Linked DNA regions of Canis lupus familiaris. The protein of the gene in region 2 interacts with the protein of the main gene of each other region in a pairwise test. Links are inferred from orthologs where the notes say so. Each region holds a gene or a part of one and is shown on either strand. Other genes may lie near its edges.

Evidence for each region.
Region 1: the proteins of GIT1 (region 2) and RGS2 interact in a two-hybrid assay, tested with the Homo sapiens proteins (2 studies listed by BioGRID and IntAct). The link is inferred for Canis lupus familiaris from reciprocal best matches to the Homo sapiens genes GIT1 and RGS2.
Region 3: the proteins of GIT1 (region 2) and C13H8orf33 interact in a two-hybrid assay, tested with the Homo sapiens proteins (2 studies listed by BioGRID and IntAct). The link is inferred for Canis lupus familiaris from reciprocal best matches to the Homo sapiens genes GIT1 and C8orf33.
Region 4: the proteins of GIT1 (region 2) and HMOX2 interact in a two-hybrid assay, tested with the Homo sapiens proteins (2 studies listed by BioGRID and IntAct). The link is inferred for Canis lupus familiaris from reciprocal best matches to the Homo sapiens genes GIT1 and HMOX2.

Annotation. Positions count from the first base shown.
Region 1 is NC_049259.1:6,817,659-6,822,595, reverse strand, and holds RGS2 (regulator of G-protein signaling 2), read left to right. Parts: upstream 1-1,444; 5' UTR 1,445-1,493; coding exon 1,494-1,603; intron 1,604-2,627; coding exon 2,628-2,729; intron 2,730-2,832; coding exon 2,833-2,894; intron 2,895-3,472; coding exon 3,473-3,639; intron 3,640-3,913; coding exon 3,914-4,108; 3' UTR 4,109-4,773; downstream 4,774-4,937. Other genes in the region: protein SPT2 homolog, read right to left, coding at 183-336, 1,037-1,437. UniProt on the Homo sapiens protein: Regulates G protein-coupled receptor signaling cascades. Inhibits signal transduction by increasing the GTPase activity of G protein alpha subunits, thereby driving them into their inactive GDP-bound form.
Region 2 is NC_049230.1:43,661,296-43,666,364, forward strand, and holds the start of GIT1 (ARF GTPase-activating protein GIT1), read right to left. Parts: upstream 3,244-5,069; 5' UTR 3,199-3,243; coding exon 3,147-3,198; coding exon of another isoform or gene 2,983-3,146; exon of another isoform or gene 2,661-2,982; intron 2,294-2,660; exon of another isoform or gene 2,216-2,293; coding exon of another isoform or gene 2,164-2,215; intron 1-2,163. Other genes in the region: uncharacterized protein LOC119876655, read left to right, coding at 2,983-3,173, 3,768-4,026. UniProt on the Homo sapiens protein: GTPase-activating protein for ADP ribosylation factor family members, including ARF1.
Region 3 is NC_049234.1:38,970,754-38,975,386, forward strand, and holds C13H8orf33 (UPF0488 protein C8orf33 homolog), read left to right. Parts: upstream 1-1,496; coding exon 1,497-1,502; intron 1,503-1,587; coding exon 1,588-1,896; intron 1,897-2,045; coding exon 2,046-2,130; intron 2,131-2,213; coding exon 2,214-2,360; intron 2,361-2,826; coding exon 2,827-2,966; 3' UTR 2,967-3,440; downstream 3,441-4,633.
Region 4 is NC_049227.1:37,202,140-37,207,219, reverse strand, and holds the start of HMOX2 (heme oxygenase 2), read left to right. Parts: upstream 1-1,587; 5' UTR 1,588-1,707; intron 1,708-5,080.

The DNA.
Region 1 (4,937 bases), on a different chromosome or scaffold from region 2:
TGATACCTGAAATCAAGGAGTGAATTGTGTTGAGGTCATCGACTGTGGACCTTCTCCGTTTGTCCTTCCCACTCAAAAACACTTAAAGCCGGCCTTCGCACAGATGATTTTTGAACAATCACCAAATTATGCAAGTAAACCCTTCACGTCTTCTTCTCCTCCCTCCCCCACTTTGCAAGTTATTAAGTGTTCTGGTAAATTCTCAGCCAAGAATGACTCATGAGGAAACCCTGCATCCTTGCACTCCCAGGACGAGGATGGCTCTGGCGCATCACAGTTTCCACGTCTTGGTGTTTCCCTCCGTCTCCTCGTGAGGAGAGCTGGGACTTCTCTGTCCTGGAAGGAGAAGCAACCAAGGATTTCGGAGAAAAAGCTTTGCAACCCCACGGGAAGACCCAATCACGCAGGTTGCGGGGAGCAAGGCTGCACACCCTCTTAAAACACGGCCGTCGGATAAAGTCCCTTTCTCCGGTTCCTTCCCTGCTTACCGTTCAGTCCCCGCAGGGTTCCGGGTTGCCCCCCCCCACCCCACCCCCCGGCCGCGCGGGGGTCGCTGCCCCCGCCCCTGCCCCACCCCCGCCCCCGTCCCCCGCGCCCCCGCCCCGGCCCCCCCGCCCCTGCCCCACTCCCCTGCCCCACCCCCGCCCCCGTCCCCCGCGCCCCCGCCCCGGCCCCCCCTGCCCCTGCTCCTTCCCCCACCTGACCCTGACCCTGCCCCACTCCCCTGCCCCCACCCCGGCCCCCCCGCCCCTGCCCCTGCCCTCCCGCCCCCTCCCCTGACCCTGTCCCCCCTGCCCTGCCCCCCCGCCCCTGCCCCCCGCCCCCTCCCCCTGCCCCCCTCCGCCCCTACCCCCCTCGCTCCCGCCCCCGCCCCCGCCCCGCCCCTCCCTTTCATCTTTTCCTCCCCTCCCAACTCAACGGAGTCGCACAGCGGAAGAGGGGAGGGTCTCCCCGCGGCCTGTTTGCAAGAAATGAGGCGTGGGAAGAGGGCGCGCTCTCCAAAAAACAAGGGCGGGGGGTTGGAAAACATCTTAACTCAAAATAAAGCACTTGCACCCCGGTCCGCTCCCAGCAGCCTCTCCCCGCCGGAGCCTGCACCCCTCCAGGGCCGGGAGCGCCCCCTCCCGTCGTCCCGTCGTCCCGTCGTCCCGTGGCCGGGGCGCGGCTGGCGGCGAGGCGTCCCGGTCCGATCCCACACGCAACCCCGCGAGCCGCCGCGAGGGCCCGAGCGCGCACGGAGCCGGAGCCGGAGCCGGAGCCGGAGCCGGAGCCCGAGCCCCGGACGTCAGCCCACCTCGCTTCGAGAGCCTTCGGCGGCGCCCGTGACCGCCGCGGGCCGGGCCGCCCGCCCCCGCGCCCGGGTGCAGCCGACCAATCGGTGCCCTCGGGGGGCGGGCCCGGCGGCGGAGGCCCCGCCCCCTCCCCGCCGCCGCCCATAAAGGCGGCGCCCGCGCCCCGCCGCGCAGAGCTGCGGCCCCGGCAGGCGGTGGACGATGCAAAGTGCCATGTTCCTGGCCGTCCAGCACGACTGCGGATCCATGGACAAGAGCTCGAGCAACAGCCCCAAGCACGAGGAGAAGCGGGAAAAGATGAAGCGGACCCTGTGAGTACGGCCCTCGGGCGCCCGCCCCGCGCTGCGCACCTGGCGCTCCGGGTTTGCTGCGAACGTGATGACGTTAGGAAACCCTGCGACCCGCGCCTCTGCAGGGAAAAGCAAAAATGTGGAAGAGGGCAATTAGCTAAGTAAGGTTCAATCTGTGTGCGTGAGCCAAGGACTCTCGGGTAGTTTAGGACTGAGAGCATGTTAGATAGGGAGGCGGTGGTGATGAGGAGGATGAGGAGGCTAAGACCTCGCAGGTTGGCTTTGTGGCCCCTGCGTCTAAGGTAGCAGCCGAGGATCCTGGGGCCGAAGCACATCCCCAGCACTGGTGCCTTGCATTATAAGTTCTGATCAGCTTGCACAGCTTCCGGATTGGAATATTTTGGCTGGTTCTGAACATACTCGTTTTAAAATCGCTTTTTTTTTTTTTGACTGAATTGCTTAATTCACCCACTAAAGATTGTGCAGCAAATCATCGTTATGCATCATCTGCTTAAAATGAGTGTTGTAGTTGGGCTGGGGCAGGGGAACTCAGTCTCTCTCTCTCTCTCTCTCTCTCTCTCTCTCGGACACACATACACCCCCTGCCTCATGGCTTCTGGAGTGGTCCAGAGCCTCTTGCTCTAAGGGTAGGAGGGAAATGAACACCCACTGGCTCCAAGCAGTTCCAGTGTTAGGTTTCTTCAAGTGTGAAATGTCTCAGAATTGTAATCAAGGCTGCAGAAAAACTGCGGTCTTTTGTGGGTCAGAAATTGCATCTGTCTTTTTGAAATATGCCATCTAAATTCATTTAAATGTCCTAGGTAGACTTACCCTTGGTTATGAGAGTAGTACTTCTGCTCAGATGAAGGGATGAAACTAATTGCGTTAAGCACGTAGGTGCTAGGTTTAAATGTAAAATGAGTAAGACTGACTTGAAGATTCTTGTTGCTACTGGGTGGCTTTATTTGGTAAAAATGCCTTCAGCTGCCACAGCAATTTCAAACGTTGTCACTTAGTGAATATCTTTTTTTTTTTTCTTTTTAAGATTAAAAGATTGGAAGACCCGTTTGAGCTACTTCTTACAAAATTCGTCGTCTCCTGGGAAGCCCAAAAATGGCAAGAAAAGCAAACAGCAAACCTTCATCAAGTAAGTTGAAAAATCTTGTATTTGCGAACATGAATAGCTAGCTGCTGAGCTGAAAAGAGGAATTCTGATGTGCACGAGCTAATGAGCAGACCTTCTTTTGCAGGCCTTCTCCTGAGGAAGCACAGCTGTGGTCAGAAGCGTTTGATGAGCTGCTAGCCAGTAAATGTAAGTTAACCTTTTGAATTTGATCCATTTCACAAGATATCACAAATATCACAAGAGTCCACAAAGGTGTTCACAACAGAAAAGCAGATTGCTCAAGGGGAATTCAAATTTGCAATCACTAAAGATCTAATGCCTATTTTTCTCCTTTATTTCCTGTTTAACCATAGAAATACATGGTTTCTTCACTGTAGATAGGGAAGGAAAAGTAGCCCAAATTGTAGGGGCAGTTGCTCTTCCTTAAGGTTGAATTGAATCAGCTTTTTCCATTGCATACAAGGTTTCCAGGAGGTTTGGAGCCCGGAGAATTTAGGTTCCCCTCTAAATATTTGCATTAAAAGCAAAGTTAAGTATATTTTGTAGCAGTGTGCCAGCTTATGCATTTTGCCTATTAGCATCTTAGTCTTTAAAAGGCTAAATTCTGAGGGTTACAAGTTTGAGTGAAATATAGAAAATTGCCATCATTTAGAAATAATAAAATATAGGGATGGGAGAATGGTAGTTCTGGAAAAATTTTAAGGCATTAATTGGTCACCCAATTTACATTCTGCATGTTTTTTCCCCCCTTTCTTCCTCCCCAGATGGTCTTGCTGCATTCAGGGCTTTTTTAAAATCTGAGTTTTGTGAAGAAAATATTGAGTTCTGGCTGGCCTGCGAAGACTTCAAAAAAACCAAGTCACCCCAAAAGCTGTCCTCCAAAGCAAGGAAAATATATACTGATTTCATAGAAAAAGAAGCACCTAAAGAGGTAAGGGGGGCAAAAAAAGAACTTCAATTCAGCATATTTTGAATATTCTTAGCACCAAAATGAAACAAAAAGACATTAAATTAAAGGGGGGAGGGACAAGATTGTTTCAAGAAACTAATTCTAGTTTTTAATTCGCTTAATTTCATTTCTTCAATGACTTGGCTAATGAAGCTCATCACACATTATAGTTTTTGCTGCTTGTTTTCAACGATTAAATAGGTATCAGTCCCTAGCTTTGAATATGGAATAAACCCCTTTTTTTTTATAATTTCAGATAAACATAGACTTTCAAACCAAAACTCTGATTGCCCAAAACATACAAGAAGCTACAAGTGGCTGCTTTACAACCGCCCAGAAAAGGGTCTACAGCTTGATGGAGAACAACTCTTATCCCCGTTTCTTGGAGTCAGAATTCTATCAGGACTTGTGTAAAAAGCCACAGATCGCCACAGAGCCCCATGCTACATGAGACGAAAAGGGGAGCCCAAGAGTGGAGGACATTTCATTTTGTTCCTAAGGGGAAAGGCTGCGACCTTCCAAAAAGACTGACCTTGAATTTAGCCTGGGTGTTCAGGAAACATCACTCAGAACTATTGATTCAGAGTTAGTGAATCAGGAAGCTGGTGACTGTGTAGGAGAAGCTTGTGTTGGGACGGCTCCCATAGCTCTGTCTAGAACCCAGGGAGAAGGTGGTCCAAATGTGGTGTGTCTCACTCACACTGGAAAGGCAGGAATGGGAGACCCAAAGGTCTGATGTGACACTGTTGGTCCAAACACATTTAAAATCAATAGGTCTGGGATTATGTGGCCTTAGCTAGCTGGCTGTATATCTTTCCCTAATTCAGTCCATTACCACATAGTGGTTTTAGTTTTAGTTATTTAGAATAAGTAATATTAAAATGTTTACTGTGTGCAAGGGTGTTGAAGTTCATACGACTACAGATCATCAGTACTGTTGTCTCCTGTAACACTAAAACTGAAATGGTCTGTTTGAATTGTTAAGTGTTAGAACAGAACGAGTGCTGTTGTGTAGGAAACTACATTGTTCATGATGAGTGCCAAAAACTGTCCTGAAGGCAGCTAAACTTTGACGTGGTCTTTGAATACTTTTAATAAATTTATTTTGATAAATAATGTCATTGACTATTCGGTTCAGACATGGGGGAGGGGGTTGTGGGTTGTGAGGGAGGGGAGGAGTGCTGTTAATATGGCAGCTACAAGAGAAACCTTTTTCCAGTAAAGGAGAGGTACACCAGGTGATGTGCCTGTCGAGTAAGCATTGACAGTGCTCAGAAATG
Region 2 (5,069 bases):
GAGGCATGTGCCTATATCCCAACTGTTGATCACCCTCAAGCCTTGTTGTACCTGGGCTGCTATAGTTCCCACACTGAGAATGCCACTCCTTGGGTCCCACAGAGATTGGGTCCTATGGTGGGGAATGGGGGAGCCCCAAGTAGCCAGCTGGGGTCCTGATAAGCATCTAAACACTCAGGGAGGCTCGACATGTGCTAGACACCATGCCAGGTGCTGGGGTAGGGTGATGTGTAAGACTTTGCCAGCACCCTGCCTATCTCACCATCCTTACCCCCTGCCTATTCCTGACATGTATTCTGGGTCAGGGGAAAAGGAGGTACCTGGGGCACGAGCAATCCAAGACATCAGATACACATCACTCCTCCCCAAACCCATTAGGCATCCATAGGTTTCAGACTGTCAAATCCAGTGGAGAAAGGAGAACTACCTTGCTGATTCTGTCCTATGTCCCTTTGGCTGAGAATGAGAACCACAGACTTGAAGATGGGATGGTCTTCAAAAACCATTTCTACTCCCAATTTCTTTGCTTCACAATTGAGAAAACTGAGGAAGAGCCCTGCCATGGGTCACAGAGTAAGCTGACAGAAGCACCCTCCCCCCAGTCCTTCTGGACCTTCCACCCTCACCCCTATGCTATGCCCGCCTTGCAGAGGTTTACACAACAGTCTGGGACACCCACAGAAGGCAAGCTCTCCTCCTCTTGGCCCTTCCATCCTCAGACCTGCATGCGGCTAGAAGAAGATCACCGTTTCCAGCTCATTAGGATAAGGATATGTAAGCCCAGATAGCTTCTTGAAGGCCCTCTAGATCATGACACGCCCTGAGAGAAGTCCCAGGGTCGCAACCACCCACGGAGTACCATGCCTCTGCCAGGCATCCACAGTCACCAAACACTTGAGCTTGGAGCCATCGGAACCACTGGAGTATCTGTGGTTCTCAACCTGTTGGGGTCTTAGGCCTGTCCTAAGGGTGGCTCAAAGTTATGGGTGCATGGAACAGCACCTCACACTCTCATGTTTAATTATGCCCACAGTCCCCCTGGAATTCAGAGACACCCTGAGCCTGCCCAGAGGTCTCCTAGGGAGTTAGCTTCTTTATTTTAAGGAGAGGATGGACAAAAGCCACGGCTTCCTTCCCCAGGCCAACTGCTGAGCCCCATCACTGGCACGGTCCTCCCACATCAGAAGGTAGCAGCCACTCAGGTCACCACTCCTCACTTCCTCAGCTGGTCAGGGGGGTTTCACATCAGCCTGGACCTGACTGTGCCGGGGAGAAGGAAAACACCAGGGTAAATACAGCCAGGAGGCTGGCCAGGAAGCCAGCGATATCCTGGGTACTACTGCTCCTTCCCCACTTCTGGCCAGACTGGGCTACACAGGGCTAGGAGGGGTCTGTGCCCAAGCTGGGACAATGCTAAGCCCACCTGACGGGGTTAAGCAGACCTTACTGGGGCATAAGAATAGCTGAGTCTAGTGGCTCCCAGGCACCAGGCAGCCTGGGGATGCCTGAGAGAAAGATGCCCAGGCTGTACTGGCCCTCAACACCAGGCCCTGCAAGTAGCCCCGGCCTTGGGAACCAGGGGCAGGCAGTCCTCGGAGTAGCTACCGCCTCTCCACCCCCCCCCCGCCCCCATCTGCTCCCAAAGAAACACTACCCCAGCCTCCCCTGGCCCATCTGCCCAGCTTTCTGCCCCTTGACCTCCGCCACCTCAGCGGGCGCCCAGACCATGCGAGCAGCAGGTGCAAGACGCGGGGGTGGCACCGAGCTGACACGAAACCCCACTCGCCCCCACCTCCTGAACCTTGCGGGCCTCCGCCACAGCCCTCCTGCCACCCCAGGCTGGCGCTTCCGTCGGGAGGTAGAGATGGGGGCGGGGGGCAGCCAGCCGCCTGCCTCCCTCAGACTCCGGGGTGGCGCCGGCAATGTCCTTCCCCGCCCGTCCGCGGACGCGAGGGCACCGGGGCCCCCCAGCCGGCCCTCCCGCCAAGGACGCGGCTCCGCAGTGGCCCGGGCGGGGGCCGAGGCCGCAGCCCCCAGCCCCGCGCCCCGCCCTCCGGCCCCGCACGGCGCTCTCGCCAGGCCCGGCGCCCGCCCGGCGGCCTCGCAGCGCGGTCGCGGTCGCAGTCGCGGTCGCGGTCCCGCCCCCGGCCCGGCCTTGCTCACCCGGGGCGCTGCAGTCCGCACACACCTCCGCCCGCGGCCCCTTCCGGGACATCCTCAGCGGCGACGCGGCCGCAGCCCTCTGGGCCAGCGTGGGGGGCGCGGGCGGCGGGCCCGGGCGGCGGCTGCCTCTGCTGCCCGGCCCGGCTCCGGCAAGGCCCCGGCTAGGCTCCGCGCGCCCGGCCAACCGTCCGCCCCCGGGGCTGGCCCGGAACCCGCCGTGCCCGCCTGCCCGCTCGCCCTCCGGCGCCCTCCGCCCCGCGCCGCCCCGCGCCGCCCTGCCGCCGCTCGCTCTCTCCGCCCCCTGCGCGGCTCCGGGCCGCTCCTGCAGGAAGCGGCGCAGGCCCTGCCCACCGGGGGAGGGGCAGCCCGCAACCCGCCCCGCCGCCGGGCCCTGCGGGCCGCGCCTCCCGGAGAAAGGAAGCCGGGAGCGCGGGCGGGAGGGGGCGGGGGTGCTTAAAGGGGCCGCGGCCGCCGCGCTGCAGGCCCTAGAGGGCAGCGTCGCCTGCGCGCCGGGCCTCGCCTCCCTCGCTCTCCGGCCCCGCGGCTGTGTGAGTTCCCCGCGCAGCCCTCTCCTCTTCGCTTTCCAGGTGGAGGGTAGCCCGAGGGGCTCAGGCCCGGGGACGGTGACCCTTGGGGGACCCGGGAAGAGAGGAAGGAGCTAGAGGCCCAGGCCCCCTTCCTCGTCAGAGCGCTGTGGTTTGGGGTGCCCGCCTCTGTGTGGCTGAGGCGAGGTGTGCGACCTGGCCCCCCATATATCCACATCTGTGTGTCCAGGTGTGTGTGGTCACACCCTTGCTGCTTACGCACAAAGCCAACAATATGGACGCCCAGGTGTACCCCTGCCTCCCAGCTAAAAATACATCTATACCTCATCCATGCTGCCGTCCCGAGAGGAAAGAATCTGGGCAGTTTTTAAAGGCCTCCCGAGGGGTGACCACTGTGCCTGTGGGCAGTAATATCCACTCTGCATTCGTCTTGTATACCTCCACGGTGTTTCTGGGCCACTGCAGGTTTGTGTGTCCAGGGCGTGTGCATATAACATACAGGGACCTTTTCTTATGGTGGCCTTTCTTCCTAGACTTCACACGGAGACGGCAATGGGGGGGGGGGGGGACAGGAAGCGGAGGCGCAGGCGGCACGTGGGTGCACCCCTGCACTGAGCATGCTCCCCCATACACGTGTGCCCCGCGTGCACCCAGCCCCCATCCCTGCAGCAGCAAAATGCCAGAGCGCTTTGCTTCTGGGGCCAGGGCCCGGGTGGCCAGGACCAGGCCTGGGGGCCAGGTCAGTGGTGACCGGAATTAAGGGAAGATTCCCAAGGGGCAGGGAGCCCTTCTCAGTAACAAGGGGGAGAAGGGGAGTCCTTGGGCAGGGGTTTGGGAGTTGGTCGATTTTATCCCAGCGGTGCCAGAACAGCAGTGGCTTGTGGGTGGGCAGGCTGCTTCCCTGGGGGAGACAAGTAATGCTCATGAGTCACACCACCCGAAATACAAGCAAAGCTGCCTCTATCGCCTTTTGCTGCAGCCCAGATTGACAAGTTTGTTTGAAATCGCGATCCACGGGGTATATTTATAATCGCACCTTTAAGAAAAATCTTTTTGCAGGCCTCTCCTCCCCCCACAGCCAGCCGCTCAGCTGGCGGGGCTTCTGCAAGCGAAGGTACCTCGCGGTGGGGGAGCACCACCTGCCGCACGGTGCCGCACCCACACCGAGAAGCCAGTCTGTGGGCTTGGTAGCCCCAGGCTGGACGACGTAATGGAGCGGCCTGGCCGCTCTTCCCGGCGCCCCCCACCCCCACCCCCAGGAGCGGTGGCCGCCCATTCACCCCCGATCGACCCACAGCTATGGAATTTCATTTATTAAATGTCGAGGCGGCTACTGGCAGCTCCATCGCTTGGCTGTCTTTGTTTCTCTGCTGTGTGGGCGCGTCTCGAGCACGTGGCAGCTGGAGGGCGCAGACCCGAGGAAAGGCGACCTGGGTTTGGTCTAGGGCCGCCTGGCAAAGAGACCCGGCTGCTAAGGGCATAGGTCCCCCAATCCTGGCCGAGCTCCCCGTCTCCCAGAACTCCCAACACTTTTCAGGGGAAGAATGATTCACCCCGTCGCCCCCTCCCGCCCGCCAGCTCTACCTCCGGGCTGGCCCGGGGACTACCTGGGAGTGGCCCAGGCAAGAAGCCACACTCTAAACTTTGTTCCGGAAGACCCCAGCCCCGCCACTGCGGAGCTTCTGGGCCCGAGACTAGGGATAAAAGGGTTCCAGGATCTCCCTCTGGAGACGTCTCCACCTCAGGAAGCAAGACAGTAGAAAAAGAAATATGAGACAAGGTTCTATAAACAATTTAATGAGGAAACAAACGTACAGGCATTCTTCTGGCCACTCCTAGCCGTCCCTCCCCCGCCCCAGCCCCTTCCCCAACTCCGGCTGCAGCCACAACACTCTGCTGACCCCTCGTGGTGGAGGTGGGCAGCGGTTCCCGGTTGCCCGAGACGCCGCCAGCTGGCTCCTCCCAGGCTGGAGAAAGGGGCGAGGCAGTCCATTCCTCCTTTATCCTTTCCCGCCTGGGCCTGGCACCGCAGGGTGTGGAGGAGGAAGGAGAGAAGACCACACAAAGAAACCTGAGAGAGGCGCGGAGAGTTTGCAAGCTTTTGCTAGCACCTCCCACACAAACATTTCTTGGATTGTTCTAAGTAGGGCTGGTATGGAATCCCTAATTCCTGTCCTGTTCTAAGGTGGACTCAGGAAGGCACAGTGCCCGGTCCTGCCACCTGTCTCGGTCCACCCGGTTGCGGGCGGGATGCGCTGTTTCTCAGGGCAGTTACTATCCTTAGCTCACCCCAGTAGGTAGTATTTGGAGTCCGATTTCGAGGTGAGTGGTCTGAGAAGACAGAAAATGTAAGCAATTTGC
Region 3 (4,633 bases), on a different chromosome or scaffold from region 2:
TTCTGGGTCACTACACTTACCTGTTCCCAGCTGAGGTTGAGCAGGCGACACTGCTCTCATACTGTAAGCCAGTGTCCTTTTCATAGTATATTCAATGCTACACTTTTTACATTCTTGTGCTTTTTGGTGATTTTTCCATTTAAAATGGCCCTCAATGGGCGGCCCGGGTGGTTCAGCGGTTTAGCGCCACCTTCAGCCCAGGGTGTGGACCCTGGGACCCCGGGGTCAGGACCTGAGCCAAAGGCAGACGCTTAAGCACTGAGTCACCCAGGCGGCCCTGTCTAAAGGTTTTTGATATTCCTCCCTTCAAGAGGGGTCACAAGAGACCCTGACTTAGAATCACACGGCTACACTGTTGCTAGATTTCCTCGGGAACGGTACCAGATGTTTACTGTTTTCGATCAGCTCAGTTGTGTGACAACTTGTTACCCTGCAATAAATAATAGATCAACTATTTGTGATGACCAAACTGACACCCTCGAGACCTCCCAGCCCAGGCAGGCAACACGTCCCATCTGTTGCCTCAGGAAACGACACTTGGTACCCCGATTTCCCCGACCGGAATCCTCGGACAGCACTCCGGCTCCTGCCCTGCTGCAGGCTCTTTCCTCCCGAGGACGTCTACTGACGCCTGGAGCCCCAGGCTGGGAGGAGGCACCCGGTCTGTAGTACCGGAGGGTGGGGGGCCGCCCTGGGCAGAAGGCGGGGAGGGGCAAGCCAGACCGGGACGGGCTCCTGCTGCGTCCTCCTGCGGCAGTGCTCACCTCCAGGCCACCCGCAAGGGCGCAGGCTCTTCCCCCGCGTCTCGGGCATCCCTCCACGTTCCCAGCCTCACCTGCCGCCCGCCCGTCTGGCCTTCGTCCCAAGAGCCGAGGGGTCTTTCAAACGCACATCCGAGTGAGACCCCAGCACTCTGCGGACCAGCGTGTGTCAAAGGCTTCCCCTCGCGCTGACAATCAAGCGGACCTCGGGCCTGTCCCCGGCGCCTGCACGGCCGGAGCTCGCCCAACGCCCTGACCTGCCCCGCGGCCCCTGCCCCGCCTCCTTCCCGCTACCCAACCTGTCCCGCCAGCCTGGCGCGGGCTGCTGCCCGGAGGTCTCCGCCGAGCGCTCGCCCTCGTTTCGGCCGCTATTCACGACGCTTCTCTGGGACGGCTTTTCCCCGCCCACCAGGCGAGCGGTCGGAGCGTTCCCTTGTGCAGGGCCTTGTCCTAGCATCCTGAGCGGTGCCTGCAACGCAGTAGGTGGCGCGAGAACACGGCCCCGGGGGCCCCTTCGGAGCCTGCGCTGGGTCCCAGCGGCCGCTGCGAGGCCTGAGCCTGCAGTCCCCGCCTCCGCCCGCCCATCTCCCAGCCCCGCCGCCGCCCCCCATAGCCCCGCCCCCCGCCCCGTCCCGTCCGTGCCCAGCGGAACTCGGCGCCGCAGCCGCGTTGCCGGAGGAGGTTGTTCGGCGGGAAGCTCGGGCGCTGCGCGGTCTTCCGCGGCGAGGGCGGCGCATGGCGGTGAGCGGTGCCCAGTGAGCGCGGGGGCGCCGGGGTCCCGCCGCGCGCGGCCCGCTTTGACCCTGGCGCTGCCCCTTTCCTCCAGGCCCGAGACGCAGCAGCGGCCGCAAGCCCAGGCGCCGCCCGCACGCCCCGCAGCCCCCGGGCCCCTGGGTCGCCGCCCGGCGCCGCGAGTCCTTCCGCCGTGAGGCCCCCCGCAGCCCGCCTCGGCTCCGGGCCCCCCGCCGGCCGTGACGCCGCCCCCGGGGGCCGCCCCGAGCAACGTGGGGGCGACGGAGCGGCCAAGAACCAGAAGAAGAAGAAAAACCGGAACGGGGCCCCCGTGGCGCGTGGCGGCGGGAAGGACCCAGAGGAGCCGGCCCCAGAGGAAGCGCCCCGGAGCGCGGAGGCTCAGGCACGCGCGGGCCTCGGTCGGGAAGGGCGGGCGCGCGGGGGGGCGAGGGCGTGGCGGCCGCCGCGGGGCTCGCGGGTGCCCGTGGGGTGGGGCCGCGGGCCCCGGCGCCCTGCCGCCGCCTCACGGCCGCTCTCCTCGCTGCGTCGCAGGAGGAGCAGCTGGCCCGGGAGCTGGCTTGGTGCGTGGAGCAGCTGGAGCTGGGCCTCAGGACGCGGAGACCGAGTCCGAAACAGAGTGAGGGGTCCTTCGGGGCGGGGGGGCCGCGGGGGCCGTCAGCGGGATGGAGGCGGTTACTAGGCCTCTCTTGCTGCGGGCAGGAGAGCAGGCCGCTGGGGCGATCCGGAGCCTGCGCAGCGACAGCACCCCCCTGCCGCGGAAGAGGCAGCTGATGCGCTCCTTGTTCGGGGACTACAGGGCTCGCATGGAGGCCGAGCGGCGCGACGCCCTGCGGGCGCTCAGGGCAGGTGAGGAAGCCGGTGGTCCCAGGCGGTGCGGAGAAAGGGCCTAGGGGGTGACAGGACCGGAGGAACCCAGAGTGACAGGGCTGGTGGGGGTGGGTCGGCTCAGAGGCCTGAGGGCGCTGGGAGAGGAAAGGCTGGGGCCCTGCGAGGGATGGGGAGGGGCGGTGAGAGGGATGGGGGAGGGGCGGTGAGAGAAGCTGGAGCACCCTCCTACTGACTATGCGCCAGGGGAGAGAGGTTGGGTCTCCTGACGCTGAGACCGTGACTGAGCCCACATGGAGTCGGAAGCTTAACTGAGCCACTCAGGGTGCCGGTCTTAGTGATTCTGGGTGGGGTTTGATGCCAACACCTACCCTCAGATTTTGAGGAATGAATCCGTTGATTTGCCCCAAGAGATTCGAGGTGAATGGCCAGGGTAATGTTAGCGGTTACTACTCTGTTACGACACTTTCTGTCGCCTCCCCCACAGCGGCCCGCGCGGCTCAGGTGCAGCCTGTAGGTGAGGCCACCAGAAAGAAGAGCGGAAGGGTCTGCAGGCCTCGCCAGGCAGGTGTAGCCAAGGCCACCCAGGATACCCCTGATGAAGAGTTCAGGTTCAATTTCTTTTAGCCTGACTTCCATGCTGGAACACTTCCCCTGCCTGGGTGGTGTGGGGGTTTGTCTTGTGTGGAGCCTCTCCGGGAATGCTCTGCTGGACAGACGTGAGGTTAGTCCGTTCGTGGCTGCCCAGTGGATCTGGTGCCATGGCTGTGGGACGGATGTGGAACCAGCCTATTGGGTACTGTCAGATAAGCACAAGACCGTTTGTAAGTTTTCAGATGAAATGTCCATCCCGCGACAAGAAGGATGTCTGTTTAGGAAACTTCTACAATAAACTGAAGTGAGTGTTCAGCATATTGTAGAAAGAATGTTGCACTTCATCTTTAGGCTGAGGTTAGGCAGCTGTTTGTAATAAGGACCGCGGAGGAAGCTATAGAACTGTACACTGGTGCTCACTTATAAAAGAACTTTGTGTCAAATGGTGTAGTGCTTTATATCATAATATCATGTTGCTCTAATAAAACTATTTTTTGTAAAAATGGATCAATGAATTCATGTGCTAACGTCTGTTAAATAAATACAGAAGAGGCAGGTGTCTGTCCTGGCTGGGTTCTAGGCTCACCAGGGTGCTTGGTCCTTTGTTTTACCTTCATTCCTGAGCATGTGTCCTCCCTAGGGAGCCAGTGTAGCTCCCAGAAGGCCAAGCTTTCTTCTTAGGAGCAGAGAGCTTCTTGTCCTAACAATCCTGGCCGAAGACCTGAGTTGACCCTCAGTAGATGACCTCTCCGGACCTTGGCTGCTGCAGGAGATACTCCCAGGACTTCCTTTGCTTGGAATCAGGTGGCCTTTTCCCCCTCTTCAATTGTGGTGCTGTCCTTTGCTCGTGTCTCCCAAGCTTGCATCCCAGCCTGCCTGCTCAGCATTTCTACTTTGATGTTTCATGAGCATTTCAAACTTGACGTGTCCAAAACATTTGATTGGTCCCTAAATCTTCCTTTGTCTTCTGCTTTTGAGTTAATAGCTATACTGCTCACCTAGTTGATTAGGCCAAAGACCTGTGTTATCCTTTCTTGCTTTCCTCCCACACATGTGTTCTGATAGGAGGTTTGTCTGCAAACTAAATCTATGATATTTGGAGCTTTCTCTTTGCTGCTCGGCATACTAGTCCTGGCCCTGGCTCTTCCCCTGACTGCTGTGTGAGCCTCCAGGGGTTTGTATCCATACATCACTCTTGCCTCTTGTGTGTTCAATGCAGCCAGTGATTCTGCACGTATATTGAGTCCTGTTTCTCTGACCTAGTGACTTTATTGTACTTTAGATATGTGAAAGGTCCCATTTGGGGCCTGCACACTTTTAGGCTCCTGACCACTTCTCTGATGTGGCCCCCTTTTCTTGTTCCTACCTTGCTGACTTGTCTGTTCCTGAGATAATCAAATCAATCCTTCCTCAAGGGCTTCAATCCTGATATCACTAAAAGTCCACTTGTAGGAGATCTTGGACTCTGGAGAACATGGTACATGGAGACTGGGAAACAGGAATCATCTGAAGACAAGAGTCTCTGTACCATCAACCCTGCTTTCCTCTCAGGTTATTTTTCTATTCAGGATGCTCCTTCAGCCTATACCTAGCTTGTTCTTGGTGCTATTTCATACATGGCTTGCATGTTGGGAAAGCACAGCTAAGTCAGACCCCTTACCCTGGCCTCAGTTCACCCATCTATAAATGGGGTGGGTGTG
Region 4 (5,080 bases), on a different chromosome or scaffold from region 2:
ATTTGGTTTTGGTAACCAAGTCATGCCTAATGCATTTATGCATCTAAAAAAAATTTAATTGGTACAGATAAAGCACAAGTGACCCCCGACCTCCCTTTGACATTCTAGTGTATAAACCTTCCTGACATTGGATGCATTTAGATACCTAAATATAAATGTGTGGAAAGAACATTTTGTAGTTCAAAAAAAATAAAAGGGGACACCTGGGTGGCTCAGCAGTTGAGCATCTGCCTTTGGCTCTGGACGTGTTCCCGGAGTCCCGGGATTGAGTCCCACATCCGGCTTCCTGCATGGAGCCTGCTTCTGCCTCTGCCTGTGTCTCTGCCTCTCTCTCCGTCTCTCATGAATAAATGAAGTCTTTAAAAAAAGAAAAGAGATCATATTGAATATATTTCCCCAAATTTTTATCCTAAAAAATCTGTAGACATACGGAAAAGTTGAAAGAACTATATCAGGAACACCTACACATACACTTACCACCTAGCTTCTCCAATTCTTAACATTTTGCTTTATTTATCAGACATTTATTATCCATCAACTATCTTATCTCTTGATATGTTTCAAGTAAATTACAGACCGCCCTGCCCCTCACCCTGAAACACTTCACATACACATTAGAATTCAATTTTTTTTTAAAGATTTTATTTACTCAGAGTGAGTATTTATTCACTCAGAGTGAGAGAGAGAGAGAGTGCACATGAGCAGGGGCAGAGGGAGAGGGAGAAGCAAACTCCCCCCTGAGCAGGGAGCCCAATGTGGGGCTCCATTCCAGGACTCTGGGATCATGACCTGGGCCGAAGGCAGACGCTGAACTGACTGAGCCATCCAGGCACCCCTAGAGTTCAATATTTTTTAAGTCAAACTTACACACTGTCAAATGTATTTTTGCATTTTTCCAACATCCTGCTTTCTACATCCTACATCCTATCCTTCTGCTTAATAACATCCTCCCTAAGCTCATGTCTGCCCTTCCTTTTTTTAACGCAGGCACAACCCCGTTGCAGAGAGGTACCCCCATCAACGCCCACACCATATCCCCCTTTAATGGACGTTTAGGTGGTTTCAAGATGTTCACCCAGATGACGCGCGCATCCCCTCCCGTGTTGCCAACGACCTTCCTCGCTCTTGCCTCTTGGGGTTCTTGCACGCATTGCTCTCCGAGAGCTACCGAGGAAGGACATTGTTTGAACAAAGAGATAGGCCCCTTCTAAATTCGAACAGATCTCGCTAACGTGTCCCCAGGTCTCCGGGAAATCCCAGGAACAGCGCACATTCCGCACACCTTTGTCAGCACGGGACAGTACCGGTCATTCGCTCTGCAGCCCGCCGGACGGGTAAGGAAGGGACAGGCAGGCAAGGCGGCTGGAACCGAGAGGGCAGGTGCAGCCTGCACAGGCGGGGACACGGGGCGCGGAGAGCGCGGAGCCCGGAGGCGCCCTCATTAACACTCTCTCTCATTAGCGCGCGGGCTCGGGGGCACCCCGACTCCCCTAGCCACCCCGCGACCCCGCGACCCCGCGACCCCGCGGGAGACACGGCGGGGCCGCCGCAGGGGCGTGTCCTTCCACAGGACCCGCCCCCTCTGCGTGCGCACGTCGGGCCGCCCTCGCGCCGCCCGCAGGGCTGCGGCGGCCGCGGCGCTTCGCTGAGTCGCTGACGGACGCGCGGACGCGGTGACTGACGGCCGGCCGAGCGGACCCGAGGCCGGTGAGTGGTCTGCGCCCTCCCAGGCGCTCCTCCGGGCTCCGCGGCGCGTCCGGACGGCCCGGAGCTGAGCCGGGCGGGCGGCGGCGGGACGCTGCGACCCGGGCGCCGGCCTGAGGGAGAGCCGGCGGGCCGGGACGGGGGGCGGCCGGAAACGGGATGAGCGGGGAGGGCGCCGCGCTGAGACTCCCTGCTCGCTCCCGGCCGCCGGGGCGGGCGGGTGAGGCCCGAGCGGCCCGTCCGCCTTGGGCTCCGTTGGGCCCGGCCCCTCGCGGCGTCACGAGTGCGCTGGGCTGGGTGACCCCGGGGGCGTCGCGTGCCGACTCGGCGTGCCCGGCGGGGGCTGCGGCCTCCGACCCCCGCGAGGACCCCGGCCTGTCCCGGGCGCCCGGTGGTCCGAGCCCCGCGTGGTGGCGGCTGCGGGCTCCGCGCTTCCTCCTGACTCACCTCAGTAGGAAGGGCGTTTTGAGTCACTGTGGTGACTTCATGAGTGACCCGCCGCCGCCGGGAAGGAGGGACGGACGGTTGGTCCGGGCGGGGACTTCACCAGTCACTTCGTCTGCCCGCTGCCGTAGGTGTATTAATTGCCAGGGGTTGCCAGGACCGCCTTGTACAAGGCCTGCCTGTGTCGTGCTGTGAAGTGGATCCTGGCAGTTCGTGTTCATGGCCTTGAGCCCGACGAGACGGTGTGGGATTGGGAAAACAAACACAACAAACACACACCGTGTAGCGCTCTGCAGTTCGCTGCCAGCCCCCGCCAGAACCCGGCGGGGCTCAGTGTGTCTGCCTTCAGCTCCGGGCGTGACCCGGGGTCTCGGGATCGAGTCCCACGTCAGGCTCCCTGCATGGAGCCTGCTTGTGTGTCTGCTTGTGTCTCTGCCTCTCTCTCTCTCTCTCTCTCTCTGTGTCTCTCATGCATAAATAAATAAAATCTTTTTTAAAAAAATGGAATTAATGATGAGGCTTGGGTGAAATGACTTCACCTGCATCCCACAACTGGGAAGAGGCCACAGATGGTCTTTTTTTTTTTTAAGATTTTATTTATTTATTCATGAGAGACACAGAGAAAGAGAGAGAGAGAGGCAGAGACACAGGGAGAGGGAAAAGCAGGCCCCACGCAGGGAGTCCGATGTGGGACTCGATCCCAGGACTCCAGGATCACGCCCTCGGCCAAAGGCAGGTGCCAGACTGCTGAGCCACCCAGGGATCCCCAAGGCCACAGATGGCCTTGATCCTGGTCATCCGCCTGCAGATCTGTGATCTTTCCCAAACAATGTCGTAGAGATTGGAAATGGATTATGTCCTTTAAACTCTCTTCCCTGGGATCCCTACTCTAGAAATGACAATACCAAACGTGAAAATGAGTTACAGAAAGTATTCATTGCCTTTAGGTTACCCCTTATCGAGTGTTGAAATGCAAAATTGGACAGCTGGGGCCTTTGAGCTACCTTGATTTTTTTGTTTGTTTGTTTCCTTTTAATTTGTTTCTAAGATTTTATTAATTTATTCATTCATGGGAGACAGAGAGAGAGAGGTAGAGACACTGGCAGAGGGAGAAGCAGACACCCTGCAGGGAGCCCAATGTGGGACTCGATACCAGGACCCCAGAATCACGCCCTGGGCCAAAGGCAGGCACTAAACCACTGAGCCACCCAGGCTGCCCTGGTTTCCTTTTAATAGGTGATTCTCTTGATAAGACAGTTGAGCTCTGCATCAGTATTGCACCAAAACTATAATATCACTTCTTCAGGAGAGAGGTATTTTTGAAAAATTGGAATTGTGGGGTACCTGGGTGAGTCATTCGATTAAGTGTCTGCTTTTACTTCAGGTCATGATACCCGGATCCTGGGGATCCAGCCTCACTTCAGGCTTCCTGCTCAGTTGGGGCTCTGATTCTTTCTCGGCCCCTCCCCCTATTCATGCTCCGTGGCTCCCTCTCTCAAATAAAATCTTAAAAAAAAAAAAGAAAAGGAAAAAGAAAATTGGAATTGTGTATTTATTGTAAAGTTGAGAATTCAGCTTAACGCCGTGGAGACAAAAGAGATGAAAAATTTGAACTGTAAATTACCTCCTGGTATGTTATTGGCCATAATTAACTAAAAAGTTATAAATAAATATTTAGAGCAATCTTGTTTTCTTATAGTAATCAGTGAGAGAATTAAGAGCTCTGGATTACATCTTTTGTGTTCAACAGAGTGAGAGTTATGTGCTTTTTAACTAAATTATCTAATTCAGTTTGTGCAAAAACAGGATGAAATGTTGTCATTTCACTGTGTGTTGACATCACACTCCCAATTAGATGGGGTTACTAAGTAGTGTTTCCAAGGCCCCTCTAAATCCCGCACTCTCACCAGTGTTTTGGCTTACGTACTATATTTAAATTTTGTTGTTTGAATGATTTCTCAGGATATTTTTGCAGTACTGAGAAGCAGTACCATTACTGATTAATTTTGGGGAGGAAGAGAGGGACAGAGAGAAAACTATAAGGGAGGGGAATCTTGGAACAGTTACTGTAATGGCTTATACGAATGCCTTTTTTTTTTTTTTTTTTTTTTTTTTTTTTTTTATGATAGGCACACAGTGAGAGAGAGAGAGGCAGAGACACAGGCAGAGGGAGAAGCAGGCTCCATGCACCGGGAGCCCGATGTGGGATTCGATCCCGGGTCTCCAGGATCGCGCCCTGGGCCAAAGGCAGGTGCCAAACCGCTGCGCCACCCAGGGATCCCCCTTTTTTTTTTTTTTTTTTAATACTGGAAGAGATTTCACTCTGGGGACCACTCAGGTGCTCTGTAATGTTCAGTGTACGGTTTACTTCTCTACATTGATTCTCTTTATTTACCATAATATGTTATTTCCCATTGTATTACATATTTTTTAAAAATATTTTATTTATTTATTAATGAGAGACACAGAGAGGGAGAGAGGCAGAGATACAGGCAGAGGGAGAAGCAGGCTCCATGCAGGGAGCCGGACGTGGGACTCCATCCTGGGTCTCCAAGATCAGGCCCTGGGCTGAAGGTGGCGCCAAACTGCTGAGCAACCCCCCCCCCCCCCCCAGGCCTCCCTGTATTACACATTTTTTTTTTTTTAAGATTTTATTTATTTATTAGAGACAGAGAGATAGACAGGCAGAGGGAGAAGCAGGCTCCACGTAGGGAACCTGACGTGGGACTCGATCCCGCGTCTCCAGGATCACGCCCTGGGCCGAAGGCAGGTGCTAAACCGCTGAGCCACCCAGGGATCCCCTGTATTACACATTTTAAAGCCAACTAATGAAGACAGCGGAGCCCCTCAGAAATTTCATTTTTATTTTTAATTTTTTAAGAATTTTTTATTCATTAAAAAAAAAGATTCTTTTATTAATTTGAGAGAGCAC